Linked DNA regions of Nothobranchius furzeri. The protein of the gene in region 1 purifies or fractionates together with the protein of each later gene. This does not show direct contact. Links are inferred from orthologs where the notes say so. Each region holds a gene or a part of one and is shown on either strand. Other genes may lie near its edges. The genes, in order: strn3, mink1 and cct3.

The links.
Region 2: the proteins of strn3 (region 1) and mink1 purify together in Homo sapiens (affinity purification with mass spectrometry; 3 studies listed by BioGRID and IntAct, with this or other methods). This does not show direct contact. The link is inferred for Nothobranchius furzeri from reciprocal best matches to the Homo sapiens genes STRN3 and MINK1.
Region 3: the proteins of strn3 (region 1) and cct3 purify together in Homo sapiens (affinity purification with mass spectrometry; 3 studies listed by BioGRID and IntAct, with this or other methods). This does not show direct contact. The link is inferred for Nothobranchius furzeri from reciprocal best matches to the Homo sapiens genes STRN3 and CCT3.

What each region holds. Positions count from the first base shown.
Region 1 is NC_091758.1:17,984,441-17,994,766, forward strand, and holds part of strn3 (striatin-3), read left to right. Parts: intron 1-1,260; coding exon 1,261-1,364; intron 1,365-1,721; coding exon 1,722-1,795; intron 1,796-1,877; coding exon 1,878-1,956; intron 1,957-2,214; coding exon 2,215-2,376; intron 2,377-6,409; coding exon 6,410-6,548; intron 6,549-6,637; coding exon 6,638-6,773; intron 6,774-6,896; coding exon 6,897-7,036; intron 7,037-7,108; coding exon 7,109-7,287; intron 7,288-7,673; coding exon 7,674-7,721; intron 7,722-8,014; coding exon 8,015-8,136; intron 8,137-8,818; coding exon 8,819-8,986; intron 8,987-9,199; coding exon 9,200-9,340; intron 9,341-9,438; coding exon 9,439-9,546; intron 9,547-9,668; coding exon 9,669-9,755; intron 9,756-10,112; coding exon 10,113-10,282; 3' UTR 10,283-10,326. UniProt on the Homo sapiens protein: Calmodulin-binding scaffolding protein which is the center of the striatin-interacting phosphatase and kinase (STRIPAK) complexes.
Region 2 is NC_091750.1:48,030,074-48,040,499, reverse strand, and holds the start of mink1 (misshapen-like kinase 1), read left to right. Parts: upstream 1-4,035; 5' UTR 4,036-4,267; coding exon 4,268-4,324; intron 4,325-8,255; coding exon 8,256-8,321; intron 8,322-10,189; coding exon 10,190-10,372; intron 10,373-10,426. UniProt on the Homo sapiens protein: Serine/threonine kinase which acts as a negative regulator of Ras-related Rap2-mediated signal transduction to control neuronal structure and AMPA receptor trafficking.
Region 3 is NC_091759.1:9,426,751-9,437,176, forward strand, and holds cct3 (T-complex protein 1 subunit gamma), read right to left. Parts: upstream 6,942-10,426; 5' UTR 6,839-6,941; coding exon 6,811-6,838; intron 5,546-6,810; coding exon 5,484-5,545; intron 5,202-5,483; coding exon 5,151-5,201; intron 5,057-5,150; coding exon 4,994-5,056; intron 4,909-4,993; coding exon 4,812-4,908; intron 4,709-4,811; coding exon 4,591-4,708; intron 4,425-4,590; coding exon 4,238-4,424; intron 4,126-4,237; coding exon 3,976-4,125; intron 3,899-3,975; coding exon 3,766-3,898; intron 3,660-3,765; coding exon 3,578-3,659; intron 3,496-3,577; coding exon 3,315-3,495; intron 3,245-3,314; coding exon 2,999-3,244; intron 2,892-2,998; coding exon 2,760-2,891; intron 2,555-2,759; coding exon 2,462-2,554; 3' UTR 2,337-2,461; downstream 1-2,336. Other genes in the region: pdia8 (protein disulfide-isomerase A3), read right to left, coding at 7,806-7,895, 7,981-8,038, 8,122-8,201, 8,308-8,436, 8,525-8,633, 9,540-9,722, 9,812-9,937, 10,027-10,140 and 1 more. UniProt on the Homo sapiens protein: Component of the chaperonin-containing T-complex (TRiC), a molecular chaperone complex that assists the folding of actin, tubulin and other proteins upon ATP hydrolysis.

The DNA.
Region 1 (10,326 bases):
TGCTTGGTAACGGTGCCTTCACCAGTGAAAAACAAAAACAGTCCACATATGTTTTTATCAGAGCAGGCAGCAAAATCACTGATTAAGCTGATCATGCAGAGAAATGGTGGATTCTGATTTCCTGCTGATTTTTTGTGCGTCTGACGAGCCAGGTTTGCATGCTGCATTTTGAACGCAGCCTTGAACCTCAGAGGTTGTAGAGTTTGAGGCTCGTTCAGCAGTTGCAGCTAAACAACCAGACACGCGTTGGCAGATTGTGGAGCTGCAACGAGACTCAGCTTTAGGAAGTGGAGCGATCCGCTGATGAAGATGGTGAACTCCTACAACATCTATCTTTTACTTAAATCGTGGTGTGATGGGAGACACACGTGGCTGGATTTTTTCATCAGTGAGGTGGTAGCATGTGCAAGTGAGACCAGACGGTTTTAAACGGGGGAACCCATCTGTACACAACACAGAGTGGCTCCAAACAGGAGAAAATAATCTGAGCAGTTCAGTTCTAAACATCATGGCTTGAACACAGAGCAGGTGCGCTAGTGTTAGCCTACTCCTCCACGTGGAAACGCATCAGAAATGTGATGGGACAGATGGACGTATTGTCCCAGAGCGCTGAGCTAATTATAAACAGCAGCAGCAGGAGGACACTCTTGACCTCTGAGGTCACACTACACATATAGGCTGTTTGTATTCTTGGTTTTCCAGTTTATTCCTTAACATTTTCAAAAGAGAAGCTAAAACCACCACATTCTTTTATGTTTACACTGAAATGGAAAGTGAATGTAAAGAACAGAAATGATGCTGATTAAAGTCCATTTTGAGATCAAACACCTGTGGATTTGAACCTTGCACTGCTGTGGTCTCTGAATCTGACGAGTCCTAATCCATAATGTAAACAATTCACTGTTGAATACTTAGAGAGAGCAGCTTTTGTCCAAACAGGAGTTCTGCACCACTTAGGAGCTACGAGGCTAAAACTAGCTCGATCATTAGCTAGCTGCTGATGTGGGCCAGCCCCTCTTGCTGATGCCAGCCAGTGTTAGCCGCTAGCTACTTGGACTGCTAACTGATTAGAGTTATAAGCAGTGGTTTGATAAAAAAAAAAACAGCCAGCGCGTCAGTTTGAGATTAAACGTCCCAGAAACTCATCTAAAGTTGTTTAAAATAGTCATCAGTTTCAGGTCCGTGAAATAAGAACTTCTGATGTGACTTAAATGTTCATCGAGGCTCTGACTTGTTTACAGTTTGTTTTTGTGTCTCCAGGCCAGGATAGCGTTCCTGCAGGGAGAAAGAAGGGGCCAGGAGAACCTGAAGAACGACCTGGTCAGAAGAATAAAGATGTTGGAATATGCTTTAAAGCAGGAAAGGTGAGATTCATGCATTCGTTTAATCTGCATTAACTTCTGACTCAGAACAGCTGCTGATGCAGCTGATCTACCTGTCAGCAGGTGTTAACCAATCCCGAGCCAGCTGTGTTAGCTTTAGCTTGTTCTGATGTGTTTTTTGTGTTTACTCAGTAACAGGTGAGCTAGCTTTTAACAGTCACAAAGTTATAGTATAAAATGAACTCAAAACTTCAGATTTCTAAAACTACTTTCAAAAGTACATTACAATAAAAGTAAATGTAACTAAGTACTTTACAGTTGTGGTTTTCCTCCTGCTGTGAGGAGTCTGCTCCTCTTTAAAGTAAAGTAATGGGATTTCTTTTTGCATGCTCCTCTCAGAGCAAAGTACCACAAGTTAAAATATGGAACAGAGTTGAACCAGGGTGAGGTGAGGATGCCGAGCTTCGAGTCAGGTAGGTGATGCACAAAGCGGCCTTCACAGGTGAGTCCCGGTGGGACCTTCATTTACTCAGCAGGTCTTTGTTTTCTCTGCAGACATCAAAGAGTCGGATGTCTCTGCTGTTCCTGCCAACAGTCAGCTCATGTGGAAACAAGGACGACAGCTTCTTAGACAGTAAGACAGCTTTAGGATGGAGATCAGATCTGGAGTTAGTCTGGGGACTAACAGATCTGTGTGTGTGTGTGTGTGTGTGTGCACATTAGCAACTGATAGTAAAGCATATTGGAGGCTTAAACGGCTCTATATGAGTGGACCATTTTAATTCACTAATCTATTATAACCAAATCCTCCTTGTTCTTTGAATTATTTAAAGGGTGCATTTTTCTTCAGACTTCATTGCTGGCTTACTTTGAAGTCTGCTGTGTGTTCCAGGTACCTACAGGAAGTGGGTTACACAGACACGATACTGGACGTCCGCACTCAGCAGGTCCGCTCTCTGCTCGGCCTGTCGGGTTCAGAGCAGAATGGATCTGTTGAGAACAAGAATCTGCAGCACCTGATCAACGGGACGGAGCGATGCAAAGAGCCCAAGAGGTATACACAGAGCTCTAGTTCTTTGACTGTGTAGAAGCTTTTCTCCTTCACTGTGATTGTGCTAATCTACCTTCTGTTTCCATTAGATTTATTAGAAAGTGATCTGGGTGCAGGGTAGAGGCAGGCCCAGTAGGGGGCAGTAATTTTGTGATTTACCCACTGACATGTGCAGGCCTCTGCCCCCATGGGCGTTGCACCCGTGGGGGATGTGGGGGATTCAACACCCACACTTTTCCAGCCGTTTTGCTCACCTCCACACCAGTCTGGTTTCTCGCACTCACTCTGTTTGCCTCTTCTCCTTCTTCCCCTCCCTCTTCTGTTTCTCCAAACAGGAGAGAGAGGGAGGGAAGAGCCCGACTGAATTCATAATTTTACATCGTGACATTAGCTGTACAAACTCTCAGTTTGATAAAGTGAGGAACAACAATTTGCAGAGGTTTATAACAGGCGCGGTGCCAGGTTTTCATTTTTGGGTGGGCCACGGTAATTTTGGATGGACCTTAATAAGCAGTGACTTAAGTGAAGCAGGATGGTCGCGCTAGAAAATTTCATTTAAAAAGACGTCATAAATGTTTTCCCCCGTCATTTTAATTTCTAAAATATGAAGTAAAAACTCCCAATTTAATTTTCATTCATTTTTCATTTATAGGCACCAGAACCTCCACTTCTAATATTTACCTCTCAACGTAGGACTCTTTCATAAGGGTACATGCACACCGGTAGTTTTTACGGTTATTCATGGGCAAAATCTCTGACAAATGGGCCATTCCCATCTGTACCGGGTCGGCCCGGGCCGGGTAGCCCCAGTCGGCCCCAGCCTGGCCCGGTTGATTCCACACATCCTTGTCTTAAGCCCATGTGGGCTGATTCTACCCACCAATCAGAGGCTTGCTCTAATGGAAGGTGTGAATTTGCTGTCAGCAGTGGGTGTGTTGGCCCTGGTCGGCCTGAAGCAGACCCCCTCGAGAAGAGGGCTGAGAATGAGCCTTGGTTGGCCCGGAAAAATACCAGGCCACCCAGATATGTAAACAACCTACGCTACCCGGCCCGGGCCGACCCGGTACAGATGGTAATGGCACAATTTTTGAGAAAAAAAATCCATCTTCCAGTAAAAGCAAAGCATCCAGCCCACCTCTCCAAATGCGTAAAATGTGCATCACAGCCGCTAGGCGCGCTGCGCGCACCGTCAGCTACGTCAGCCCAGACAAGAGCAGAGCAAATAGAGAAATAATAGAGGATAATTGTGTCTGGATGTGGATGGAGATTACATTTTACAGCAGCCTGATCATCATTTAAATACGTAAACCATCACCTGTCCTCTAGTCCACGCTATCAGCATTATTTTAATTTGTGTGTGTGTGTGTGTGTGTGTGTGTGTGTGTGTGTGTGTGTGTGTGCGTGCGTGCGTGCGTGCGTGCGTGTGTGTGTGTGTGTTTTCCACATCAAACACTGGTCTAATCAACCAGACCAGCATGTCCAGTAACATATTAATGTTACAATTAAACAGTTTCACTTCATGTAGGCTAGGAACATTTCACCTGCCGTGGCCCGACCGCTTCTGCTCCACATAAACTTTGTGCGTGATCAAATGTCTCTACGCGTCATGCGTCTCCATATTAGACACGGGAACAAGCGCTGTTCAGCCTAAGTTTCATAATTTCATAAAAAGAACATTTTTCCAAGTGACACATCCCTCAGAGAGACCGGGTTTCCAGACCGCTTCAGTGGGAGGAAATCTTACCGCATGCGCCGTGGTTCTGCACTGCGCTGCAAACCCCTCTACAGATCTTCAGCTCACTGTCCACCGTGGGCGCTCCGAGCCGCGCTGAGCACAGTGTCCAGTATAAAGCTCTGATGTTCTGATGGGAATCATTTCTTGATTGATTTAGTTACCTCCGCGATGTGCGTAACGATTAAAATGTCAGCTCATCTGTGTGTGCATCAGTGTGCGTCGGGGTAATTCTTTCAAAACAACCAACATCCTTGAGTTTATCTGTCAAAATAAACAGTCAAATGGAAATATCTGTAACCTGCCATTTTACTGTTTTGCCTTCTTGTGAAGATTGTTGCAAAGAGAAACAACTAAACTTGATTAACCCCAGAGCCATGCACACTGCACTGTACTGACTGTAAAATGAGGGGGAAACGATTTAATTGGATCCTTTTCTCTTCAACATGGTTTAATGTAAAGTTTCATTCAGTACAACCTTTAGTTATACCAATCTAACGAGACAGAGCCTTTATTTGTATTCTGAACAGTTTAAACATGTTTAAAACGGAGACATGCGTGACACGTCTAAAATTCGCACCTGCTCCGCTGTTATGGAAATTAAGCTAACAAGATGAATAACATGAAATTATTTTGGGCACAGACAACATCCCCCACACTTTTGAAAAGCTTGAATGTGCCTGTCTGCCCCCACTGTTGATGGGTTGAATCTAGGGCTGGGAGATGTGGCTTCAAATCAGTATCACAGCATGATGAGCAGTTCACATTAAAAACGATGAATGGACGATAATTACCCGTATGCGCAAATACAAAAGTTGTCCACTAGATGGGGCTGTGGCAACATAATCGCTCCACAGCTGGTTTTATTGATGGTAATATTCCCCCACATCTATTCATAGTATGAATAGATGTGGGGGAATAATCAATATTTACTATGAATTTCATAGTAATTATTAATTAATTGCTACTTAAAAATAATGCGCAACTAAGTACTTAAGTAATTTGAGTTGTCAGGTAGTCAGGTTCTCTATAGAGTGGTTGTACTGAATGTTACGTCCTTTATTGGACAAAGCTGATCTTGTCATCTTGCTAACCAGGCTTAAACAATGGGTAGGGATCTCAGGGATTGCTCTGGAGTGGCAGGGGTCTTATCTAACTAGGATGTTGTATGAAGATTGGTAAAGCTCCATCTTACCTCATCTGAGGAGTGCCGCAAGGTTCCATCCTCAGACCCCTTTTATTTACCCTTTACCTGCTTGACATTTCAGAAGTATAAGCTGAGTTTTCATCTACATGCTGACTGTTGTTAAAGCTATTGCCCCATGAAACTGGGATAAAATGGTGCTTTTAAGATTATCCTGGCATGTCTGGAGGAGGTAAATATTTGGCTGGCTTACAGTTTTCTGAGTTTAATGAAAATAAAACAGAGGCCATTGTCTTGCTGCTGTTTTTACAGATTAAACTAAAGACACAGGAACAGACTGTGTTGCTACTTAGGAACCAAAAGACACAATTTTATATACAAATCTGCATCATCCCTTGAGCTATGTGGCCTTTGAAAGACTTCCAGAAGGTCTGAAGAAATGAAGATGGACCTGTTGCCAATCTAGATGGAGTAATGATGTAGTTTTCTTCTGAGACATGGGTTGGGCCTCCATAGAGGGTCACGAATAACGGGTGGGGACCGGAGAAGATCTCCAGAAATCTAAAACATCAAATCATTATTCCTAAAAGCATATTTGTTTAGAAATCTGAAGTTCCCATAATATTCAGGGTTTTGGTAAAGTTCAACCAGTGGTTTTTGGGCTTTCAGGTTGTGGAATGGTGCAAACACATTGAATAGAATAGGATAGACTATTGATCCCACAGAGGGGAAATTCTCTTGTTACTGCAGTATAAACACTTAAGAGAATACTATGAAGAAAAATAATAACAAAGGTACATGTATACACACATAGGCAGTAAGCTAGTATTGTAACCTTCAACCACTAAAAACCACAAATAAAAATGAAAAACTTGGTTCCAGAACCATGCAGCATACTGTAAGGGATGCAGACATACTAAGTTCATCTGGTTTTGCACAAGTATTGAACACATACTGAGTATTGCATTGATGCTTTTGTGTACCAGGATAATACCAGTACAGCTTAAACTGAGGAGTTCTACACTCTTACTGCAGAGGGGATGAATGACCCACAGAAGCGTTCTGTTTTACATCTGGGATGTCTCAGTCTATCTCTGAAGGAGCTGTCCATGGTCTCCAGAGTGGACGTGTGTGTGAACCACATGTGTGTTTGTGTGCAGAATTCCAACTGACAACTTGGAGACGTTCAACTTCTTGGAGAACACAGAGGACAGTGATGAAGATGATGATGAGGAGGGAGACCTAATGGACGACATCACTACGGACAAACACCATCGAGCTAAAAAACATAAAATAAATGTATGTGAAGAGAAACTGTGACTTAGCACCATTTCCCTCCTGTACTCCATTCTCCTGGAACTTTTTTTTCTGCTCTCATGGTCGACCAGGTAGGAAACGAGGGCTTAGCAACAGAGGATGACGCAGACACGGAGGAAGCTTTGAAGGAGTTTGATTTCTTGGTGACGGCAGAGGATGGAGAGGGGGCGGGGGAAGCCCGCAGCTCTGGTGATGGGACAGAGTGGGGTGAGATAGTCATCACACGTTAGCCAGCCAATGATCAAATGCAGAAATAAAACATGACGCATGTCTGAATGTTGGTGTCTGGACGTTTTGGACACAAGTGAATTTATCTGAGTCTCTCTGCAGCAGAGCCTCTACCCTTTTCCACTGCTGGGGGAAAGTCCTTCTTACTGGGGGGGTCTGATGATGTTCTGGAAAGCGTGCTGGGTTTGGGGGACCTTGCTGACCTCACCGTCGCCAACGATGAGGTGGACTTTGGCTACGATGTGAGGAAATGAAACTCAGTGGAACTCTGTCTGAATTCCTGATAAATGAGCTCACTCTGGTTTTGTCCTCAGCTCTCCTCCAGTAAAGAGTCTTCCTTCAGGAAGACCTGGAACCCCAAGTACACGTTACGGAGCCACTTTGATGGGGTCCGAGGGTTGGCGTTCCACCCTGTGGAGCCCTGCCTGGTCACAGTGTCTGAAGACCACACGCTCAAACTGTGGAACCTCACCAAGACCGTCCCAGCCAAAAAGTATGTGTTCTGATTTCTGGGCCCTCACTGGGTACAGGAGCTGCATCAGCTCAGGGTGTTGGTGGCTTTTAGTCGTTCCTGTGATCTTCTCTCACCTACACGACGTCGTCAGACACAGGTCCTCTGAGCTCACCAGGGACACTTCAGCTTTCTTTTACTCAGAAAAAAACTACAAATGAAAAACACAATGAGACACTAGGAACCAGGTGAGAACATTCAGACTGCTGATTCGTTAGATATTCCAGGGGCGTGGCTTCCAGACATATATACAGTTAGCAGGTTGTGTGTTATGATCAGATAAGGAGTTTGTAAAATGCTCGGAAGCTTTCAGGATTGATGTTTATTTAGAACACCAATAACAGGTGTGATGACATTCTGTGTTCCAGAAGTGCCTCGTTCGACGTGGAACCGGTCTACACCTTCAGGGGTCACATGTATGTATCAGAACCAATGTGGAACATTAACATGTCACGTCTCCTTTTAACACATCAGATTCCAACTGTAGACATGTTTTATTAACCACATTTAGTTGTTTTAGAGATCATTTTTCAGATTCCCCCCCCCCGAGGGGGCCGGGCACCCCTAGCTCCCCCATAATTTAAGTCCTGTTTGTAACCAACTCTGTAGCTACTATTATCAAAATAAAGAGTATAAAGTAAAGATATAATTAGCCCAAGTTAGAGATAAATCTGAAGGCTTGTTATAGTTTTGTGACGTGTCTTTTTAGTGGTCCGGTGCTGTCGTTGGCGATGACCTCCAGTGGCGAACAGTGTTTCAGTGGTGGCATCGACTCCACAATCCAGTGGTGGAACATCCCCAGCTCCAACGTTGACCCTTACGATACCTACGGTACTTCCTGGTCTAATCACAGTCCTCACTTCTCACTTTCATAAAAGGTGTTTTTTGCCTTTAGCTGCAGGAGGGCTGGCGATGTGGACCCAAATGGTTAAAGGAGGTTTGGCTCATCTTTTCACACAAACAGGAGAAACAAAACTTGTCAGTCATGGTGAAACGGCTCTCCAAAACAATCAGAGACGCATCAGAGACATAGAAACAACAAGCTAGCAGTAGCAGTGACTGCTGACTGCAGAAAGTCACTGGTTCTATATTCATATTGATTTAAACTTGATTGGTTATTCTTGTGTCTTGTTTGAAAATATATGGATGTGTATTAAAAACGTGATATCTTGTCCATTTGTAAGGTGCAGGCTATGACACCCCCACAGTGGCGGACCTAGGATTATTCTGAGCATGGGGCCATAATTTTTATAGAGGGGGGCCAAGTGTTAGTCAAACATCCTTACACAAGGTTTCACTCTGGAAAACTATTTGGCTCATTAACGCCACTGGTGTTTGGAATCGGAATTGCGTCTACTTATAAAAATTGTGGAAAGGACGGATGAGTGACAGGGCAGGGGCACTTGAGGACGCCAATCGGATTTCTGCAGGGGCCAGTGCCTCTCTGATCCCTCTCCTACAACTGTCAACCCCCCCTCCACATCTTCTCCTGATGTTCTGCTGTGTTTTCCAGATTCCAGCGTGATGGCCGGGTCCTGGGTGGGTCACACAGATGCCGTGTGGGGATTGGCCTACAGTGGCATTAAGAACCGCCTCCTGTCCTGCTCAGCTGATGGGACTGTGAAGCTCTGGAACGCAGCAGAGAAAGAACCCTGCATCAGCACTTTCAACACCAATAAGGGTGAGTCTAGACTCTAGAGAGCCTTGTTGTTATTTTCAGAACCAGGCCATCAGGTATTTGCTACTGAAGGTCTTCGCTCTCTGCCATGTTGCTTTCTGGTCAGAGTTCTGTTGGGTCTGCTCTCCCGACTAGCAGAACATCGGTTACTAGTTTCCTTCACTCAGAGCAGCTCTGTCAGATAGGTCAGGGTTTTTCTTCATGTGTCTTCTGCAGAACACGGAATCCCCACGTCGGTGGATTTCAACGGCTGTGATCCCGCCCACATGGTGGTTTCTTTCAACGGTGGAGATGTGGTGGTGTACGACCTGGAGACTTCCCAGATTGCACTGGTCCTAAAGGGCCAGGGTGACAGCAGTAAGGACACGCACACGCACGCGCGCGCGTGCACACACACACACACCATTATCATGGGGTTGCAAGGTGGTAACTGTAGTGGTTCTCTCCTCTGCCAGCCCTCCCTTGTCTGAATCATATCAACAGGGTGGTGAGCCATCCCACGCTGCCCGTCACCATCACCGCTCATGAGGATCGAAACATCAAGTTCTTTGATAACAAGTCAGGTGTGTGTGTGGTTCTAGTTCTTTAATTGGACACTGGGCTGGATGTGTCTGGAGTCGGGGTTTCTGCAGATTGAACTCATCCATCTGAGTCATTTATTTCCCCTTTGTGACGTCTCCCGCAGGTAAAGTGATCCACGCCATGGTGGCTCACCTGGATGCAGTGACCAGTCTGGCTGTAGATCCAAACGGCATCTACCTGATCTCCGGCAGTAAGTCACTTCCTACTGGACCTGACCACCAGACCAGTATTACATCTGCTGATCTGGAACCAGCCAGTGCTTTTCAAAACCCACTTTTACTCCTTTAACAAGTAGAGCTGGACACACATCTTTTTTAATGGTTTTTATTTTCTAATTCTGTCTTTTTGAGTTTATTCCTTTTATTACCTGCTTTTGTTTGCTTTGGGGGGCTGCGGTGGGGGTAGTAATGGTGTTCCCTGTAACAGGATGCCGGGTGGAGTCAGTAGAAGATTTTCTGTAACCACCTGAGTTCTTTTAAAACTCTTTTTCTGGACTTTTTTTGTGCCGATTCTTGAATTTCAGACGTTCTTCTGGTCATCTCTGTAGGTCACGACTGCTCTCTGCGTCTGTGGAACCTGGACAGTAAGACTTGTGTACAGGAGATAACGGCTCACAGGAAGAAGAGCGAGGAAGCCATCTACGATGTGACCTTTCACCCTTCCAAGGCTTACATTGCCTCTGCTGGAGCTGACGCCCTCGCCAGAGTCTACGTGTAAAGGAGGAAGAGAAGAAGAAGAGTTGGAGTAGAGTGGGTTCGTCT
Region 2 (10,426 bases), on another chromosome or scaffold:
ACGTGCTGATTTTTAGTTTGTAGTCATGCAAATGACAAAGTTTTACAAGCTAATAAATCTCAAAGTGTGTGACAGGCATGGTCAAAACACCCATCATTAGTTTTCATTTAAATTGCAGAACAACATATGTGTGATGCAGGGCGTAAGGCAAAGCAGATTAGAAAATAGCGTTTTTAGCCCTGTTGACTTGCATTCATGGTTTTCGTTCTTCCGGGGACCTGTGATGCGGATGTGACTCCCTATAGAGTCACTTCCTGCTTCCTGTTCACAAATCCCGTGTGATGTTATGACTATCGTGTGACTTTCCAAGAAGTGCTCAGCTTTTTTTTTTCACTCATCTTTATTGATAAAATTGTACCATCAACAAAATTGTATAAAACAGTGAGGGACATTTAAAGCATAGTTCAAAATGAAATGGTCAATGAAACACATCGAGTGAACAATAAGCGAACAAAATAAAAAAGAACTGAATATAACATGAACACACACACTAGGGGGAAAGTTAACAGACCAATAAACCAAACAGTTTAAACAGAAAACCCATACCTCTACATTGCTTTAGATAATATTTTACCATGAATGATTCATAAATTAAATGTAGACCATTCAACTAACGTTTTTAAGGCTTTTTAATTAGAAGAATCTCTGATGGAGGAAACATATTGTCTCAGCTTGTCTTGAAAGCTAATAAAAATTGGCTTTCTACTTGTAACCTTACACTTGTGAAAATGGAATTTAGCCAGCAATATTATAAGATTAATAATATATATTTTTAGAATTCTCAATTTTTTTTTATTTACAAAATGCCCAAACAATACATCTCTCCAATATAATTTTAAGTCTGGATCAATCTTGATACATATAAAATCATTGATCTTCAGCCAAAATTGTTTGATAACCTGACAATTCCAAAACAGATGTACAATAGTTTCTGGAAAGTTATTACAAAAACAGCAATTCACTTCAATGTCTTTCTTAAACCTGAATTTTATGAAGGGGTTAACAGGGTAAATTCTATGTGTAATTTTAAAGGAAACTTCTTTGACTTTATTTGTAATAAGAAACTGGTCAGGTAAGAGCCAGACATTTTTCGATAATAACTCAGGTACAAATTTATTCCAATATGAATGGGCATGCCTATGTGCAAATATTTTGTTGGAATAATGCTCTAATTATTTTATTATTATTTGTGGATGGAGTTGAGAAACACCTCTTGCCAACATAGGTGTGTAATGGAGACATCACAGCTGGTTGTAAGCTACATCTAGAGAGGGATTTAAATAACATGCATATTCCAGCTGGGATTGCCATAACCACATTTGCATATTCATCTGGAGAAACAGGAACACCATATTTATTCAAAAACTCTTCATATGTATAAAGAAGGCCTTCATTACCAAGCAATTGATCTACCAAAACAATACCACTGTTAAACAAGTTTTCTAAAAAGATGTTCTTTTTTTGTACAGAATGTCCCTGTTACTCCAGATGAAGTATTTATGAGGGCTGAAGTTGTGCTTGTAAATCTGACTTCATGCCAAGAATGCCTGGCGGTGAAAAGCACTTAATTTTAACCCTTTGGTGCATAGTGGTCACTACAGTGGACAGGTACTCAAAATTGTTATTTATTTGTTTTTGCTATTAAGCACAGCTGTTGAAGACTTTATTGCATTTGAGCCCCTCCATTTGGACTTCAGTAAGTCAAGCCAACATATTTCATGTCAGAATGCACGCTGTCCACTGAGATGGACGTGTAATAAATTATTTGTAAATTATAAAATTTTACAAAAAATGTTTGTTGAAATTTGTTTCATTCACACCTAAAGACAAATGAAAAAAATTGTTTAAAAATCATGGTTGAAGATTTCATAATTCATGCACCAAAGGGTTAAGGGAATTTTATCAATATTAAAGTTACAGACCATAAAAAAATGAATACCGCCTACTTTAGAAAAAAACATGTTGAGGGATAGCATTCCAAATTGAGGCTGGATTTTTGATCAAGTGTTTGAACCAGTTTATCTTAAAAGTGTTATGCAGCGTTTCAAAGTTTAGGAAATTGAACTCTCCATTTTCATAGGAATTCATGAGTATTGTCTTACGTAACTGGTGTGACTTATTTTTCCTTACAAAATTTAGTAAAATCTTTTCAGTTTCCTGTAGGTGTTTCTGATCAAGATGGTGAGGGAAGAAACGCTCAGCTGCGCCTCCTGTGTGACCAACTTCCCAAAACAGCGGTGTGGTGCGTCTGTCTCCAGTGTGCCCCAAGCTTAAGGCTAGGTAAAAAGTTAGTTCATGCAAACACCATGTCTTCTATCTGCAGCATCACAAGTGCAAATTTCCTTGCTCAATCATATCTAGATAAAAAATGTAATTTATGGAAGTTTTTCTAATTGGTGTTCACATAAACCACAATTAAAGTCAGGATGACAAACTGAAAAATTAGTTACTACTGGCTCTGCTGTGATTAGTCAGTGGCTCATCAACCTGGTCAGAACTCATTTTGATTTCTCCAAACTCCTAGAGCGATCTAAAACAGATATTAACTGTTAACAACCTTTCCACAGAAACCATTAAAGAAATCCAAACCCTCCCTTCAGCTTTATTTCACAAAGAATATATTTATCTGAGGTTTTGCAATGCAACCACAGTTATTATCCTCCATCAAATTATTATTTTGGAATCTTGGTGGACAGCTTTAGAAATGATCCATGCATTATTTATTATAAAAGCCTTATGATCTGCTGAAAACAAAGTATGCTGTAATGGGAAAAATAGCCACAGCATTTATGACCTGTTGAGCAAATTCGAGATTGAAAGAAATGGTGAACCGAGGATACTTAGATGTGCTGCTGAAGTTTTTGGCAGCATTTGGAGTAATAAAACTTCAGCAGAAGAGTTTATGTTTTTAGACAGAACTGACAGAGCTGCAGAGCTGCTGGGGCCCACAGTAAATCTGTTCTGAGGTGATTTGTCCCTGCTGAGGCGCCGTATCCCTTGAAGAGCAGAAAACACTTGAGGAGTGTTTGTGTGCAGTCAGTACAAACCCACAGGACTACATGAAGGCTGGAGTGGGAGGGAGGACAGGAGGCAAAACATGGCGAAGTAACAAGTTTTGCTCTTATCGGCAGGTAGAAACTGCACCACATATTTCACCATTGGACTACGTTTTTTTTTTACCAATTTGGACACCGGAGAAGGACAGCAACGGTCAACTTTAAACGAGCTGATTTATCTAGCCTATGAGTTAATGGTGGCTGTCGTGAACATTTGCTGTGTTTCCCCCGGAAGGTTGGCAGAGCTAGGCGCGACTGTCAACACCGCAAATGGATTAAGAGGGAAAGTTTTATTTATTTATTTTTTTATTGTTTTGGGAAAAAATACAGTTTAGCTTGCTAGCTTAGCAGCGTTAGCGCGAGGATCGTATGTGCACACCTGAGTCGGGTTGTTCCGATTACTTTGGGCTCGGGTAAAAAAACTGGCAAATAACAACTTTGAGCAAAAGGGAACTGTATTTCCAACGAGGCATTTATTGTAAAATATCCGCTCTTAAGTAACTGTGGCGGCACATCCATGTAAGGCTAATAATGACAGCCTGACGATCGGTTCTGGTGCGGACGGACCCGGACGCCATCATATCAGACGTTGTGTTCTTCTTAAAAGCAACCATTGCGTTTCAATGGCGTAAATGTCTCATACTCTGTCAGCACAGTTAATGTTCCAGCGGGACATTATCTGGTATTGTTTCTCTCTCTGCGTGTGTTTGTGTATTAAATGTAACATTAGCTGGGATGTTTTTCAGCAGCAGAGACGCAGCGTCTTGTCAAAATGAACGCAGTAAGGTGTTCAACAACAGCGGAGGTGCATTCTGCCAGTTGTTAGATTAGCGTTTATGACCAACCAGCTGGCACGCTAACAAATACAAACAAACAAACAAACAAACAAAAACATTTAAACTGAGCTTATTTTGTTTATTTTTATCTGCAGATTATTCTGTAAAACTCCTGCGGATAACACCACAGCTGTCGGCCAGAGTTGATGTGAGCTAGCCAGCTGGGTGCGTCTGTGACGGTCTTTCCTTGTGATGGATGTGCTAATGTAATTGTTCCGCAGCAGCTTCAGTTCGTTTAAAGATCCGGTTCACTAATTGGTCTCTGTAGATTCGGCCGCTATAACCTCGTGATTAGCCACGGATTTTCTCCCCAAAGTTCTCCTTGTTGAATAAGAGTGGCTTACTTGTTGGTTAACGTCATAAGTTTTCTAAGCTATGTCTGAAAACGCCCCCACACGAAGCCTGGACGACATCGACCTCGCAGCTCTGAGGGTGAGTATTATCATTATTACTGCGAGATAAGTGTGCAGCAATTTGTAAAATCACCGCAGACAGACTCTTTTAGGTGTTATGTCATCTGAGTTTTCCTCTGACACAAGCACTACCTAGTACAGCCCACGCAACGAAGTTGAGGTGAAATAAACACCCCCCGGCCCCTGTGTTGTAGGCAGTTGTGCGGTTTAAAATCACAGATATTTGCAGAAAATGTCATCTGATTTCTGTATCTGGAGAAACAAACATCCCTGGCACATTTTTCTCATGACAGTCTTGGTCTTTCCGGTCTAAAATGCTCTATCATGTCAGTGTGATTGCTGTGAGGTAATCTCTTTTGAATCACATCAACAGTAAATGTTATGGTATTTAATGGGTCAGGTTGAACTACAATTTGCAATCATTCTTCCACGTGTTACTTCTTTAAATATTACAGGTTTGATGGCTCTTAAATCTAGTTGTTTTTTAAATTATTATTAATCTGAGATTTTCAGTCAAAAATTGAAATTAGCAAATTATTATTCGCCTGGTGTTAATTTGGAAAATGCTGCCTGGATTTTCAAACTAGTTTTTCTGCTGCAGGCAGGAAATGAACAATGTGAATACAAAACCTAGAAAAGTGTAAACACTTGATGCAAACTCTGTTAAAAAGATGATTGGTTTTTAAAGGATCTGGAGTAGAAATTAAGATTATTTAGTATTAAGGTTGTAATTCAATTGTTTATGGGTTAGGGTTAACCTATCCTATTAATAAATATTATATGTTTTGTGAAACAATATGCATCACTAGAAAAATTTTAGGAAATTACAAATTCACTAACATAATCAAATTAAGACTAAAAATGTGCATTTGATTGAATGCAAATGGATATTTTTTGTCTCCAATCAGAACATTTTGTATCATTTTAGCTTCTTGTAATACTAAACTCTGTAATACTGTGTCAACAAGTCTTTATGCAGTGGAAATGGTACTGTTGGGGTAGGCAATCCTGGTCCTTGAGTGCCTCTATCCATTGTTGTTGTTTTCCTGTTCCAACACACCTGGTTTTAATCAGTAGGTGAATATAAAGCCTAAAAATCTGGGGTGTTTCTCAATGTCAAGGAACCTCATCTTGATGCATTTGTCCCACCCCGGTTGCCTAGGAGATATGTCATCATGTAGTCCTTTTATTTCTATTTCTGTTTGTTTTGTTTATGAATAAGATGACTATGTATATTTTGTCAGTCATTTTGATGTCTGACCAAATCAGCCCACCGCTGGTGTTCCTGCAGTTTCATTTTGAACACCATCAGTCCCATTTGCTTGTATTTTATTGTGAGGTTTCTTTTTTTATTTTATCTAGATCTTCTTGGCTAGCACCCACAAAATACAAGTGTGAAAGTGTTCTTGTGATTTTGGAAACTGACTACTTAAATGTGCCTTGTAGAGGCCTTGTGTTTGATCAAAAATAAAAGTTTGGTTTTCTCTTTAATTCTCAAACGAAGTCGTGTTTGTGTTTTTAAAGTCTTGCAAAAATATTTAAAAGTAAGTCTTTGTGCAACATGATCAGAAGCAGATCTTACCATTTCACAGTCAAAAACCATGCTTGTCATGTAGTATTTTGTTGGCACTTCCCATCATGTAGGCTATTGCCATGACATGTGAAATAATTTGTGTGTGTGTGTGTGTGTGTATGCGTGCGTGTGTGCACCCACCTGCGTGCATGCCTGCCTGTCTATTCCTTTCTTGTCTGCAACAATAAAATGCCTTTGACGCTCAAAAGAGACATTTTAAAGTTCTTCTGGGAGGAGACGAGATCGTCTCAGTGGCTTAATTATTGCATCTTTGAGAAAATATTGCAGCAAAATGCTGAAGGGCTCCAGCGTTGCATAACAAACTACTGCACACAGATATCAACAAATTATTTGGACCAAAACACTTGATTCAAATGCCAGTAGCACTACAAAAGCATGTCTTCTGCAGATTGGCATTTATTTCTGCTGGAATTGTAGATAATACTATTAGAACTGAGAAAAAATCCAAATAATAGCATGCTTGTGCTAGTGTCTGGAATTGGAGATTTTATGTCTTATCTTCCTATTTAGGCGAACACCTTTGAGTATAAAAATAACGTTGGATGATGATCAGCAGATATAACCAGCCCTCTAGAAATGAAACCCATGAGAAATGTATTCTTGTGATTTTTATTTTGATGAACTCAAGAGTGCTGCTGTTTTAAAATGCGGGTAGTTGTAAAATCATGTCAAAGTGGAAAAACTCAAACTGGCCTCTATAGGCTTAAACCAGTGGATGCTAAATTTGTGTCATCATTTTCAAAGACACTCAAATTTCAAAAAATTTATTTCCAAAATGGAGACATTTCTTTTTTATATTCATAAGTTTTGGGCTGTGTTTTTGGTTGATAGCTGCAGCTTTTTAACCACAGCCATGTCATTTTATTTTATTTTTTTTTTTGTTCCTTTTCCTGAAAGACTTCCCGTGTCAGCAGAGTTAGCACCCTTGCAGGAAATGTGGTATCAACTTCCCCTTGGACCTTAACAAGTGTCTTTCAGCTCATGTTGCTTTTTGAACATCAAAGCTTAATATTTGTGTGGGTAAACTATTGTTTATTAGCATTTGTTGTAGTCTTTATTAGATGACACTTTGACATATCTTACATGTGCATTGGTTTGTGTTTGAGCTGGCTAACTGCAGATTTCTTCTCCTCTAACAGAATAATTTTCCTGCCTTTTTTGTGATAATTGGACCTTGTTTGGCTGTATGTTGTGGATGTTTCTCTTTGACTGTAACTGTACCCTTCCCCTTGTTTCAGCTCATTCTTCTCTTCCCACTCTCTGTGCTGGATGTGGGTGAAGCTACCGCCTCTGCTTCTCCACCCACTCAATCATTACATTATTCCCTTCCATACCATCATTCTCTTGCATCCTGTTTCACATCACTGTTGCTCCTCCTTTGTGTCCTTATGCATAACCTGCCTATAAATCTGTCCGTTATGTTTGTCATCAACTGTCTGCTTTTTCGTCTACTATCGTATCATTTCCTGCATTCCTTGTCCTGAAAGAAAATCTTTATTTTGAAGGCTGAACATAGATGACTGGAAATAGATGAAAGCGGGATAGGTCATGGTGTACATTCTAAACCCAAGGCAGCAGTCTCACCACCCACACACCTTCTTAAAGCCATATTGAAATTACATGAAAGTGGAACTGCTTCTGTAGAGGGAGAGGGGGGGTTGCATATTTAGTCAGAGCAACCTACTTGTTATTAGTGTCAGTGAAATGTGTGTTCAGCGCATTGAAAGATAATCTGAACAAATTAAGAGGAAGGCTGAAGTTCTAGTTGGAATCCATACTTGTGAATCTGAGAATCAATGTTTTGTGCTGTTTAATGTCAGATTATGTGGGTGGGTAGGAAGATGAAGTTCAGATGGTTAATAAATGAAAATGAGTATTGAGTTTGATTGCTTTAATGATGTACAATGTGGAATCATTGGGGTTATTTCTTGCTTTGTGAGATGTTTGGCTCAAAAATGTTTTGACATTGTGGGAGGAGTTTAAGGGCTTCTTCAAATCTGGTGTAGCCCTCACGTTATTTTTATCAGTCTAACAATTAGTGATTTTAGATCTGTTTGAATTACCTGGCGAAACAACTGAAGCCAGGTTGCAGAACAGATAAGAACAGGTGCAGTTCAGTAGCATTTTATTATCTGATGGAGACTGTCGGCTGAAGAAATGTGAGCTTAACAACTCGACGCACAGCCTTGTCATTGAAGGGTACACGTGGAAAAACAAAGCAAATAAACTGTAAAATAAATGGCGCGCTTTGTGTTTAGTGTTTGTTCCATTTTAAATTCACTTGTGTAGAAAATACAAATGGTGTGTGCTTTGGGCTATATTTGGTGTAAAATAATTGAATCTCTTTCTTTCTTAGGATCCAGCAGGAATCTTCGAGCTGGTTGAGGTTGTTGGTAATGGCACATATGGGCAGGTGTACAAGGTGAGCTGTTAATCCTCCGTGATCCATATAAAGTCTAATCTTTGTCTTAATGTAATTAGCCATCTCTCCTTAAGAAGCTGAAACTTGTCAACATAACCTTCTTTAGTGCCGGTGTTCCGACTATCCGTGCTCCTCGTCGAAATGTGCTACTTTGGGGAAATGTGCATGCGCAGCGCATGCCGATTATTGCGTCACCGGCTGTTTACAAGTCGAGACGCGCTACCTGTGGAAGTTTACGTTTAATCTCGTCACTTATCTACACTCAACAAAAATATAAACGCAACACTTTAGTTTCTGCTCCGATTTTTCATGAGATGGACTTAAAGATCTAAAATTCATTCCAGATGCACAATATCACCATTTCTCTCAAACATTTTTCACAAATCAGTCTAAATGTGACAGTGAGCACCTGTGCTTTGCTGAGATAATCCATCCCACCTCACAGGTGTGCCACATCATGATGCTGATCTGACATCATGAGTAGTGCACAGGTGTACCTTATACTGCCGTTGCGTTTATATTTTGAGTGTAGTTACTTACTGTGACCTTCAAGTTGAAAGTATTTCTTTAAGTTGTTTTATTAAATTACTGCTTGCTGTATGTTTACCTGACAGTTGGCTTGTAAATGGCTTCTAAAATATCGGTATTATACTGTAAACAAGAAATTTCTCCCATTGTGTACAGTCATTCTGAAAGAGTCCCAAATTAATATCCAAAAGTTTTCTATTATACATATAATAAATTTATCATAGTTGTATAATAATCTCAAATTATACATTCAAACAAATAACTATAAGTATTGACGGAAAGCATATTTGTTCTATGTGGATTAATTTGTCTAATAAAGGATTAGGTAGAGAAATAGAATGGTAAGAGCTAACGTCTTACAAATCTCCATTTTTATGAATCACTCTCTCGACATGGGTGAAAGTAGTTGGTAAATTGTCATTGTTCATGGAATATTCAAATGTTTTTAGCAACTAAGGGGTTAATTTTAATGAAATGACTAAACAGCTTCTTACACTATCCACTTTTTTTTCATAATAACAGTAGCTACCGATTTTCAGTAAACCTGGACAGACTGAATCAGCTGTTGAAATGCGCGTTGGTAGGAAAATTCGACGATGAAGCACGGATAGTCAGAACACTGGTTCTTTTGTGATGTATTAAATCCCCTGATTATATAAGCTGCAGCCTGTTGCTGTGTCAGTAGATTTTTAAGCTATCTGAATGAGGAGAGTTAAAATGGTGACAACTAAATGGTTCAAAACACCTCAGAATAAAATGTTAAACAGCAAAAAAAGGATGTGATTTAGCAATTAGCCATACTTGATTCTGTGAAACAAGCTACAACAAAAAAGCTGGATGATATAGAGAAAAGCATATAAAACAAAAATGATATATTGAACAATATCAATAATTATTGGTAAGTATAGAACAGGTATGAAATATATCTTAAGTGCAGCCCTGGCCCTTTTATGTCATTACTTTATAATAAAACTAGTTGTTTGTGTTACCAGACTCACACTCCTGGTGATCTACTGTACCTTCTTTATGGGAAAATTTCCTCCGCCTCTCCTTGCTGTGACATCTCCGTTTTGGCTTCAGAGAGGAGGAGAGGAGGGCTTGGTGATGGAGCGTGTGCTTTAGATTGGTTGGGAATAAGCCATGACTCTGGTATTAAGCTGTCCGATCGGCTGTATGATGAAAAAAGAAAGGAAACTTCATTAAAGTTTTTATTGACTTCTTTTTTTCCTGTTGAACCACACGTCTATCGATGGATTCATATCGATATTGAATTATTGTCCAGCCCGACTTCATAGTGAATACCGTTAGCATGTTACAAGTAGTTTTATTTATTTTATCAGGGCCGTCACGTGAAGACAGGCCAACTGGCTGCCATCAAAGTGATGGATGTTACAGAGGAGGAAGAAGAGGAGATCAAAGCAGAGATCAACATGCTGAAAAAATACAGCCACCACCGCAACATAGCCACGTACTATGGTGCCTTTGTGAAGAAGAGCCCACCAGGACACGATGACCAGCTCTGGGTCTGTCCATGTTTGCATCTGATTTAGCAGCATTACGGAAGTCTTCCTCATTAA
Region 3 (10,426 bases), on another chromosome or scaffold:
TGCGATCTCGTTCTTTCGGTCATTACCCAGAGCTCATTACCATAGGTGAGGATTGGGACTTAGATCGATCGGTAAATCGAGGGCCTGGCTTTCTGGCTCAGCTCCTTCTTCACCATGACAGATTGGCTCAGCGTCCGCATCACTGCAGACGCCGAACCAATCCGCCTGTCGATCTCCCGATTCCTCCTACCCTCACTCGTGAACAAGACCCCAAGATACTTAAAAGTCCTCCACTTGAGGTAGGACCTCTCTCCCAACCCGGAGTTGGCAAGCCACCCTTTTCCGGTCGAGAACCATGGTCTCAGATTTGGAGGTGCTGATCCTCATCCCAGCCGCTTCACACTCGGCCGCAAACCTACCCACCAAGAGCTGAAGGTCAGAGCTGGATGAAGCTAGAAGGACTACATCATCCACAAAAAGCAGAGACGAGATTCTCCTGCCACCAAACTCGACACACTCCACACCACGGCTGTGCCTAGAAATTTTGTCCATATAGGTAATGAACAGAACCGGTGACAAAGGGCAGCCCTGGCGGAGTCCAACCCTCAGCGGGAACAGGTCCGACTTACTACCGGCTCTGCGGACCAAACTCACGCTCCTCTGGTAAAGGGACTGAATGGCCCTTAACAGAAAGCCACCCACCCCATACTCCTGGAGCGTCCCCCACAGGGTGCCCCTGGGGACACAGTCATAAGCCTTCTCCAAATCCACAAAACACATGTGGATTGGGTGGGCAAACTCCCATGCCCCCTCCATCACCCTTGCAAGGGTATAGAGCTGGTCCACAGTTCCATGGCCAGGACGAAAACCACATTGCTCCTCCTCAATCTGAGATTCAACTATCGATCGGGCCTTCCTCTCCAGAACCTTGGAGTAGACCTTTCCAGGGAGGCTGAGGAGTGCGATCCCCCTATAGTTGGAACACGCCCTCAGGTCACCCTTCTTAAAGATGGGGACCACCTCCCCGGTCTGCCACAGGAACTGCCCCCGATGACCACTGTGTGTTGGGGTTTACCCCGGGGGGCGAGAGGGTAGCTCCCTGCGCCTTCGGGTCGGGGAACGAGTCCTGACTGTTGTTTGTGCTTATGGGCCAAATATCAGTTCAGAGTACCCACCCTTTTTGGAGTCCCTGGGACGAGTGCTAGATAGTGCTCCATCAGGGGACTCCATTGTCCTGCTGGGGGACTTCAATGCTCACGTGGGCAATGACAGCATGACCTGGAGGGGTGTGATTGGGAGGAACTTGGGAGCCTGATCTGAACTCGAGTGGTGTTTCGTTATTGGACTTCTGTGCAAGCCGCAGTTTGGCCATAACAAACACCATGTTCGAACATAAGGATGCCCATCGGTACACTTGGTACCAGGGCAGCCTAGGTTGCAGGTCGATGATAGACTTTGTAGTCGTATCATCGGACCTGCGGCCGTATGTTTTGGACACCCGAGTGAAGAGAGCAGAGCTGTCAACTGATCACCACCTGGTGGTGAGTTGGATCAGATGGCAGGGGAAGATGCCACGTAGACCTGGCAGACCCAAACGCATAGTGAGGGTCTGCTGGGAACGCCTGGCAGAAGAACCTGTCAAGACGGTCTTCAACTCCCCCCTCCGGCAGAGCTTTGACCGCGTCCCGAGAGCAGTGGGGGACATTGACTCTGAATGGGCCTTGTTCCATTCTGCGATTGTTGAGGCGGCTGTTGCTAGCTGTGGTCGCAAGGTGGCCGGTGCCAGTCGTGGTGGCAACCCCCGTACCCGCTGGTGGACACCAGAGGTTCGGGGAGCCGTCAGGCTGAAGAAGGAGGCCTACAGGGTGTGGCTGGTCTGTGGGTCTCCGGAGGCAGCAGACAGGTACCGGATAGCTAAGCGGGGTGCAGCAGTGGCAGTTGCCGAGGCAAAATCTCGGGCGTGGGAGAAGTTTGGTGAGGCCATGGAGAAAGGTTATCGATTGGCTCCAAAGAGGTTCTGGCAAACTGTCCGGCGCCTCAGGAGAGGAAGGCAGCAACTCGCTCACACTGTTTACAGTGGGGATGGGGAGCTGCTGACGTCAACTGGGGCTATAGTCGGACGGTGGAAGGAATACTTTGAGGAGCTCCTCAATACCACCTATGCACATTCCGAGGAGGAACCAGAGCCGGGAGACCTGGGGATGGACTGTCCAATCTCGGGGGCAGAAGTTGCTGAGGTCGTCAAACAACTACACAGCGGCGGAGCCCCATGGGCAGATGAGATTCGTCCTGGGTATCTCAAGGCTATGGATGTTGTAGGGCTGTCGTGGTTGACACGTCTCTGCAACATTGCGTGGTCAGACAAAAATATGAATTAATGAAATCAGAGGAACGAGTCAAGCTTTCTAACTTTGTTTTTATTATGTTTGAGTGAGTCAGGTGGTCTCCACACATGCAAACACACACATTTAGATACAAACAGTCGGAGTAACTCTGCTGCTCAGCCTGGATCTACTTAGACCTATTCGGCTCCTTGTCCTCCCATCTGCTCTCCTTTGTCTTTCTTCTTGTGCCCGGAGACAATATCATCAATACGTAGCAACAAGATGGCCGTCTGCAAAACACAGAAAAATGATAAAAACTGTAAACAGATATTAGCAACTATGTGTCTGTTGCTGCTGCCTCTTGGCCAGATCTTCGTTGTAAATGAGAATGATTTCTCAATCGACTCATCTGGATAAATAAAGGTTAAATAAAAAAAAAAACAAAAAAAAAAAAACAATATTATTGATCAGATCAGATTTGAGAACGGTTCGGACCTCAACAGCAGTCTTGTAGGTCTGAGCTTTAACAGCTAGTGGCTCCCAGATGCCAAGAGCTGTCATGTCAGACAGAGAGCCGGTTTCTCCATCAACGCCCCAGCTCACACTGTTGTCCTGAGTGTGTTTGGCCTGAACAAACAAACAAAGAAACATTAATGTTAAATGCCTGTGTTAACCAATCAGTAGCTCAACTCTAACCAAAAGCTCCAGGTCTCAAAAATAAAATTTGTCGTTACTCTGAGTGATGTTAGAACTCGAATAGTAGAGGCTCCACAGTTCTGGATCAGGGTTCGGGGGATGACCTCCAGAGCCTGGGCCACAGCGCGATACGGCCACTGTTCGACCCCCGTCAAAGCGCGGGAACGCTCTGTCAAACGCTTCGACACCGCCATCTCAACAGCGCCGCCGCCAGGAAGCAGGAATGGGTCGAGTAGCACGTTACGGCACACCTGCATGGCATCCTGCAGGTTCCTCTCCACCTCCTGCAGAACACAAACGTCCTTACACAAAGCACATATTAACCGGACTGATTTAGAAGATGGGGAAACTCACCGCCAGGATCTCCTTGCTGGCTCCTCTCAACAGGATAGTGCAGGCCTTGGGATCTTTACACTCTGTGACAAAAGTGAAATACTCATCTCCGATCTTCTTTACTTCAAACAGCCCGGCCTTCAAACCAATATCTTCCTCACGCAGTTCGTCTGTTCGGCTCACAATTCGAGCTCCACACGCCCTGAAAAACACAGCAAGCGTATAAAGCTATGTCAGAGTAGGACTGACTTGGTTAAAGTTCTCTGCGTAACAAACAAATATACCTGGCAATGCGGTTGTTGTCAGTCTTCCTCACACGGCGAATGGCAGTGATGTTTGCCTTCACCAAGTAGTGCTGAGCCAGATCTGAACGAGTAAAGAAGAGTTAGGACTGAATAACAGTTCTTTTTAAGCTGCCTTTGTAATGCAAAGACTGAACAACAGAGAAAAACACCAAAAGTTGTTCAGGTACCTGAAATGCCCTTTTCAGTGAAGACCAAGTCTGGTTTGAGGCGGATGATGTCCTCACAGATCTGATGGATGTATTCTTCCTCCAGCTGTAGGATCTTGGCAAAGTCCTCCTCCTTAGTTATCTCTATGTCTGTCTGTAGAATAAATGTGAGTTAAATACTGATTTATATAATCTGGTTATGTTCTAAGACAAAGAAGCAGCTCACTATACCTGGCTCTCCCCCTTTTTGTACTCCAGAGAACAGTCCAGCAGGAGGATACGGGGATTTTTGATCATTCGCCTCATTCTTGGGTGAGTCACATCTTTGTTCACCATCACTCCTTTCAGCACACAGGAATCCTCGATGATTCCACCTGGAACCTGAACACAACACGGGAGATGTGAGACAAAAGAATGAATGCAATTAATGCAGGAAACACTTGATCTTCTGTTCTAACCTAAAGTGATCAGGTGTAATGAGCAACAGTCGTACCTTCTCTACTTTGGCGTACTTCTTGATGTCAATCTCTTTGCGCCCGTTCTCTTCCAGCTCCACCGTACGAACGGCGTCCAGCGCGATGTTGCAGGCCAGCTCCGACCAGCGGCTCAGAGCTTTGGTGTTGATGGCAGAGTGAACAATCTTCAGCATCATGGAGCGGTCTGAAGTGTCCACGGGGATGCTGGAGGAGGACAACAATATTCAGTCAAACTTCCTGTACAAGTTTCACAAAATTAACTCATTCATAAATGTGTAATGTTATTTCTAAGCTGCTGTTTGGTTGGCTTACAACAAATCAAAAATAATTATAATGTAACAAGGAGGCGATGGAAACTGTCAGACTCTACCTGATTTCCTTCAGTGTGTCCAACATGTCCTCCAGAGCCTGTCTGTAAGCACTGATGATCACTGTTGGATGCATCTGCTGCTCCAGAAACTGTTCAGCTACAGCCAACATCTCTCCAGCTGAAATTTGAGACATTAAATGACGGATGTTAAATAAAACAAACTGAATTCCCTCTAAAGGGGAAGTCTGAGCTTCTTTAGATTAAAAATAAAGCTTTTATACCCAGTATGATGACTGATGTGGTCCCATCTCCCACCTCTTCATCCTGTGTGCGACTGATCTCGATCATCGACTTGGCTGCGGGATGCTGTACCTGAATCTGTTGCCATGGAGAAGCAGGATGTTATGAAACACTGAAGGAATTGATGAAGTGACAAACTTCCAAGTGTTTATGTGACCCTGACCTCTCGGAGGATGGCATTTCCATCGTTTGTCATTACGATTCCTCCTGTAGGGTCAAGCAACATCTAGACAAAATGACATGAAAACATGGAATATTACGGACTTATTTTATTTTTGTAAATGACTGGGTGCGGTGATTCTCTGTATAGACAAACTCACCTTCATCATGGCCCGTGGGCCGAGGCAGGTCCTGATCACATCGGCTATGGTCTAAAATAGATTGCACAAGAACAATATATGTAAGGGCTGGGGGAATAAAACAATTTTAAAACAAATGAAGCATTTTTCTCTTCAGAGACTGATCTCAGTCTATTAAGAGGAATTTCTACTCTAGTCTGGCCTTTTCTTTCCCAGCTACTCAACGTCTCCATATTAAAAACAAAAAAACAGCCTAGATTGGCTAATCTCAAACATTAAACAGTTTTCTTCCGCACTCAAAAGACAGATGAGACTGTCTAACACAAGCTTTAACGTTTTACAGCAACAACTGACCTTTGCTGCATTGATGTTTCCAGTTTGGACTTTACGTCCTGATTCTCTCTTCACATTCTGGTCTAAAAAGAGACAAGAAAACAGAGAAATCACTACAGAGTCACCTAATTGAAGGGTGTTTTTGCTTCAAAACACAGATAGCCATTATTTCGAGTGACCCAATTAAATGACTAGCAATTCGAAATTGTTGGTTTTAAAGAAGTAATTTATCAGTATGGTTAGCAATCCCATGCCTGCCAGATCGATAACAAACCAACACATTACATTAAAAAAAATCAATAAAAACAGCTGTGTATAAATATGTGACAGATCATTTTTGACAAATGTCCAACACTGTTAAAATGCTTCAAAATTAATGAATATGATTTACCAGTCACGTAGGCCAAAGTGCATCTATGACTAGAATCCTTTGTAGTAAATTATTCTCCTTACTAACTGAGTTGTTGCATCTTTATTTAAAATCAATTTTGTTGGATTGTATCATTAAACTAGTAATATCTATACAGCTAAATAAAACATTTTCTTATTGCATTCCAAATAAAATGAGTGTTTCGAATATTTAAATAATTTTTTTGTTGTCGTAATTTTTTTATTATGTTATACTCTTCTTTTTAGCTCCTATAATGAATTTAATTGCTGCTGTGACACCAAAATCCCCCCACTGAGGGAGCTATCTATTCTAGTCTAAAATAATTGTAAAGACAAAATGGACGGAATATACCAGTACAGATAGAGCTTTCGTGATTTCAGACACTATGAATGAATGAATTTTGATTTTTGCAGGATAACAATGCTGTCAATTCGCAATTACAGGCTATCAAATAGATCAATCGAAATCGGAATGTATTAAAGCGGATGCTTATTTTGTTGTTCAGTTCAGTCACAGCGCACACACAAAACTAATTCAAAATCGTGTTTAATAGCTGCATCAAAGGTAATTTCATGTCTTTTTTAATTATTATATAATGTTCGCAGTTGTCTAACTGCACGCTCATGATGAGTAAGAGGACTGTTAGCTTAAGCTAGCCTAGCCTAGCATACCTACACGCTTTCCGCTACTTCCGAACACGAGCTAAATATGCTAATGATGCCGGTTGGGTGTGGATGCTATCAGTAGCATGTAGGCTAACAATGCTAATACCGGTGGAAGAAGCTGATGCTCGGCTGAGTTATAACAGTTGGTTAGCGCATCCTTAGCTGCTTTGTGTCCCAGCCGATCTGCCCCGCGTTCAAACGGTCACAAAATTGACTAAATTGCAGAAACTGGCGGGAAGTAACCGACATCTAACTATTGAAAGTATAGTTAAGAACAAATTTCGATACTTACTAAGCACTAAAACCTGCTGGCCGAGCATTTTGAGACCACGACGCTAACAGCACTAGCCTCGAAGGTTCTGGGTGGCACGAGGAGAGGGACGGCTCAGACAAAATGGGCAAGACATTACTTGAGGTCCGGCCAATTAGCAAAGACTATTATTTTTGATTGACATGCGCATTCACCAATAGAGTGAATGAGGTAAACTCTTCTAGTAATAGGCCTTTTATGGAGAAAACCTAATAGAAATAGAACCCACAACGATTTAGCAAAAAAAAAAAAAAATTTTTTTTACGAAGATTGAAAATGACTTTTATGTGTTTTAACACTCGTGGAACTTGCAAAGTTTGTTCAGTTGATCCCAGCTATTATTATTAAGCTTTATTACAACACACAGGCATGGAAATAATGGTTGAGCAAACTCAGGCACACTGAAGTATAATTTAAAAATTAAATTTCTTTTTAAATCCCATCATAAAAACAACGGCTGAAAACAATTTTACAAAAGCTATTAAGGCGTATTAATTCATGAGAATTTAATTAACAGTCAGTTGTCAAGCATGGTTTTATTACATAATCTCAGCAGAGCTTCTCAACATAACAAAGCTCACAAAATAACCAAAGACTGCCAAAGTATAAGTAATTAAGTCAATAAATAAATAAATAAATAAAAACTAAACACAGCACCAAATACAAACTGCACAGATGGTATTATATCAAAATGCATTTAGTTTTCTGGAATAAAAAAACAAAGAATTGCACATGAAATGGCTTTATAAATGAATAAATATATAAATAGTTCTATTCAGCAAGGACATGGTTTTAGAGGGGAGTATGGAAAGAATCTGATTGGTAGAAACAAAAATGGGTGGACCATGTCCTGATTCGTTGTTTCTGGTGTGTCACCAGGAGCAGAGCTCTTGCTGCCCATTCATGTCTGTGTAGCTGTTACAAGACTTGATCTTTTTGTTAATCAAAGTCAGTTCTGATCAGTAGGTGAATCTTTGTCACAGTTCGTCCTTAAACCCAGTCAGCACCAGACCATGACTCGCCTCACTCTTCAGGAACTTTAGGAAGTCTTTGAGCTCTCGAGTGCCCTGAAATCAAGATGTCCCACAACCATTAGACATCATGTGTCTCAAAGATTGATGAACTCAAGCTGAAACTATTAAAACTTGGTACCTGGTATCGAATGGGCTCATCCTTTTTACCCACTGGAGCAAAATAGATGGTTGGAAACCTGGAGAGAAGAATAAAATCATAGGAAATAAAGACTCATGAATTTTCTTCTTTAAAAGTGCTCATCAACATCGTCATCCTCACCCTTGGACATCGTATCCCAGTGGGATGTCATTATAGACGGCGTTCATCTTGGCAATGACAATGTTTGGGTCAGAATGCAACTGAGAACACATAAAGAGCATTTTCAGATTACTATCAGAGCAACACGACCTAATTCTAGAGTTTAGTGCACTGAAACTTAATCAAAAATACAATAAAGCTGTGTACCGTGTCAGCCAGCTCTCTGTAGACCGGCTCCAGCTTCTTGCAGTGTGGACATAGCGGGGAAAAAAACTGAATCAGAACATCTTTAGCAGGATCGTTCACGATTTCATCAAATGATTCTGCGACAACCACCTGCGGTGTTGAAGACAAAAGGAGGTCAGCACAAATTTTTTACAATCAGTATTTACAATCAGTCACGCTCACAAGCAGCTCAGCTCACCTTAACAGGAGCCGTGTTTTTCTCAGGTAAAGGTTCTGATTTTATGTAACGTTTGAGACGACCGGCAAAATAATCTTCAAGGAACCTCCCCAGTGACTGACCATCCCTCCTGAAACACACCAGTCAACTTTTAGTATCCTGAAGACTGACCAGCTGTCATTCATGCAATGTGAGCAGCATTTTCAAGACAGGGTATCTGCAGGTTTAAGGGAGCCAAATTTAAGACTTTTTAAGACCTTTTTAAGGCCACTTTGACCAAATTTAAGCTTGTCGTCGTCTTCCTCCACTTATCCGGGTCCGGGTCACGGGGGCAGCATCCCAACTAGGGAGCACCAGACCATCCTCTCCCCGGCCACCTCCACCAGCTCCTCCGGCAGGATCCCAAGGCGTTCCCGGACCAGATTGGAGATGTAACCTCTCCAACGTGTCCTGGGTCAACTCGGGGGCCTCCTGCCGGCAGGACAAGCCTGAAACACCTCCCCAGGGAGGCGTCCAGGAGGCATCCTGACCAGATGCCCAAACCACCTCAACTGGCTCCTTTCGATCCAGATCCAAATTGAAGCTATTTTTTAAATTAATTTTAAGCTATAATTTCTAGCTATTGCCTGGAACCGGTGCTAACCACGTCGCAAACATGGGATTAGCCATCCAGTTACCATTAAACTTGCACTTCTCCATGGCGCAAGCTCCCACTAGCTTAACCAGCTAACGTGCTCATCTAAAAATAGTCCCCTTTCACAACCAACTGAATGTGTACGGTTCCGCTTACGCCAGTATCGTACACAAAAAATGCTGAAATTCACGAAAATGTCATAGAAATAAAATAATCTAGTTTATTGGGTCTTTGGTAATTTAAGACCTTTGGAAACTGTATTTAAGGATTATTTGTCATTTTTAAAGATTTTCAAGGCCTTTGGAAAAGTAAATTTAAGGACCCGCGGATACCCTGCAAGAGAAAATTAATGAATAAAAGCATTTCAATGGACGTTTAGCCCCGTTTGACCCTAAAACCTACGTGAATTCTTCCCTCATGACATATTTGTGTCCCAGTTTGGTCCGGATTGTGACAAACGGGAGCTCTCCTCCATCTGATGTTCCCAGACCATATTCGTCCTCCAGCTCAGCTTGGAAGTCCTTTTTATTGGCTACTGAGAACATTAAACCACGCCCAGTGTATTTAGATGCCACCTTCATCACCCTGGTGACAGGACATACAGCAAAGAGATCTAAACACACATTTCCTGTCCACACACTCAACCACCTGCCACCTGTATGTTTGTATGCTACCTGTTCCTCCAGTAGTTGGACCCTCTAACGTTGTGATGATAATCCAAGTCATAATACGCCGTCAAGAGGTCACGAACTCTCAGACGATCTCGGGTCTCCAGCGTCATGTGAGGACACATTCCATATCTGTACACACAGATGGAGTGAAACTGTGAGACATTGGCTTCTTTACTGTCCTTCATATGCATTCAATGAAATAAAAAAAAGAGTCTCACATGTGATCTCTGATGAAGCGTCTCAGGGAGCTAATAGTCAGGTAATCTTTGAAGACAACGACACTGCCCTCAAAAGTGTTGGACAGTCTAGGAGGTCTGAACAGCAACACACTCCTGTGAAAGCGTAGATAACTCACAGTAACATGTTAAACACCTTTTGTAGTCTTGTGGCGTATCTTTGTGCACTCACTCAGCGTTAGCATGCTCCTCAGCAATTTGCAGATCAGTGATGTGAGCAAATCTGAACTGTCCTCTCAACAGACCAGCAGCTTTCAGGAACTCAGCTAGATGGGAGCTGTCACTATCTGAGAAAACACCTGAGACACACACACACACAACATCAATTCAATAACACGCGTGATTAAAAAAAATGTATAAAGTCTTCATTGTTTATGAACAA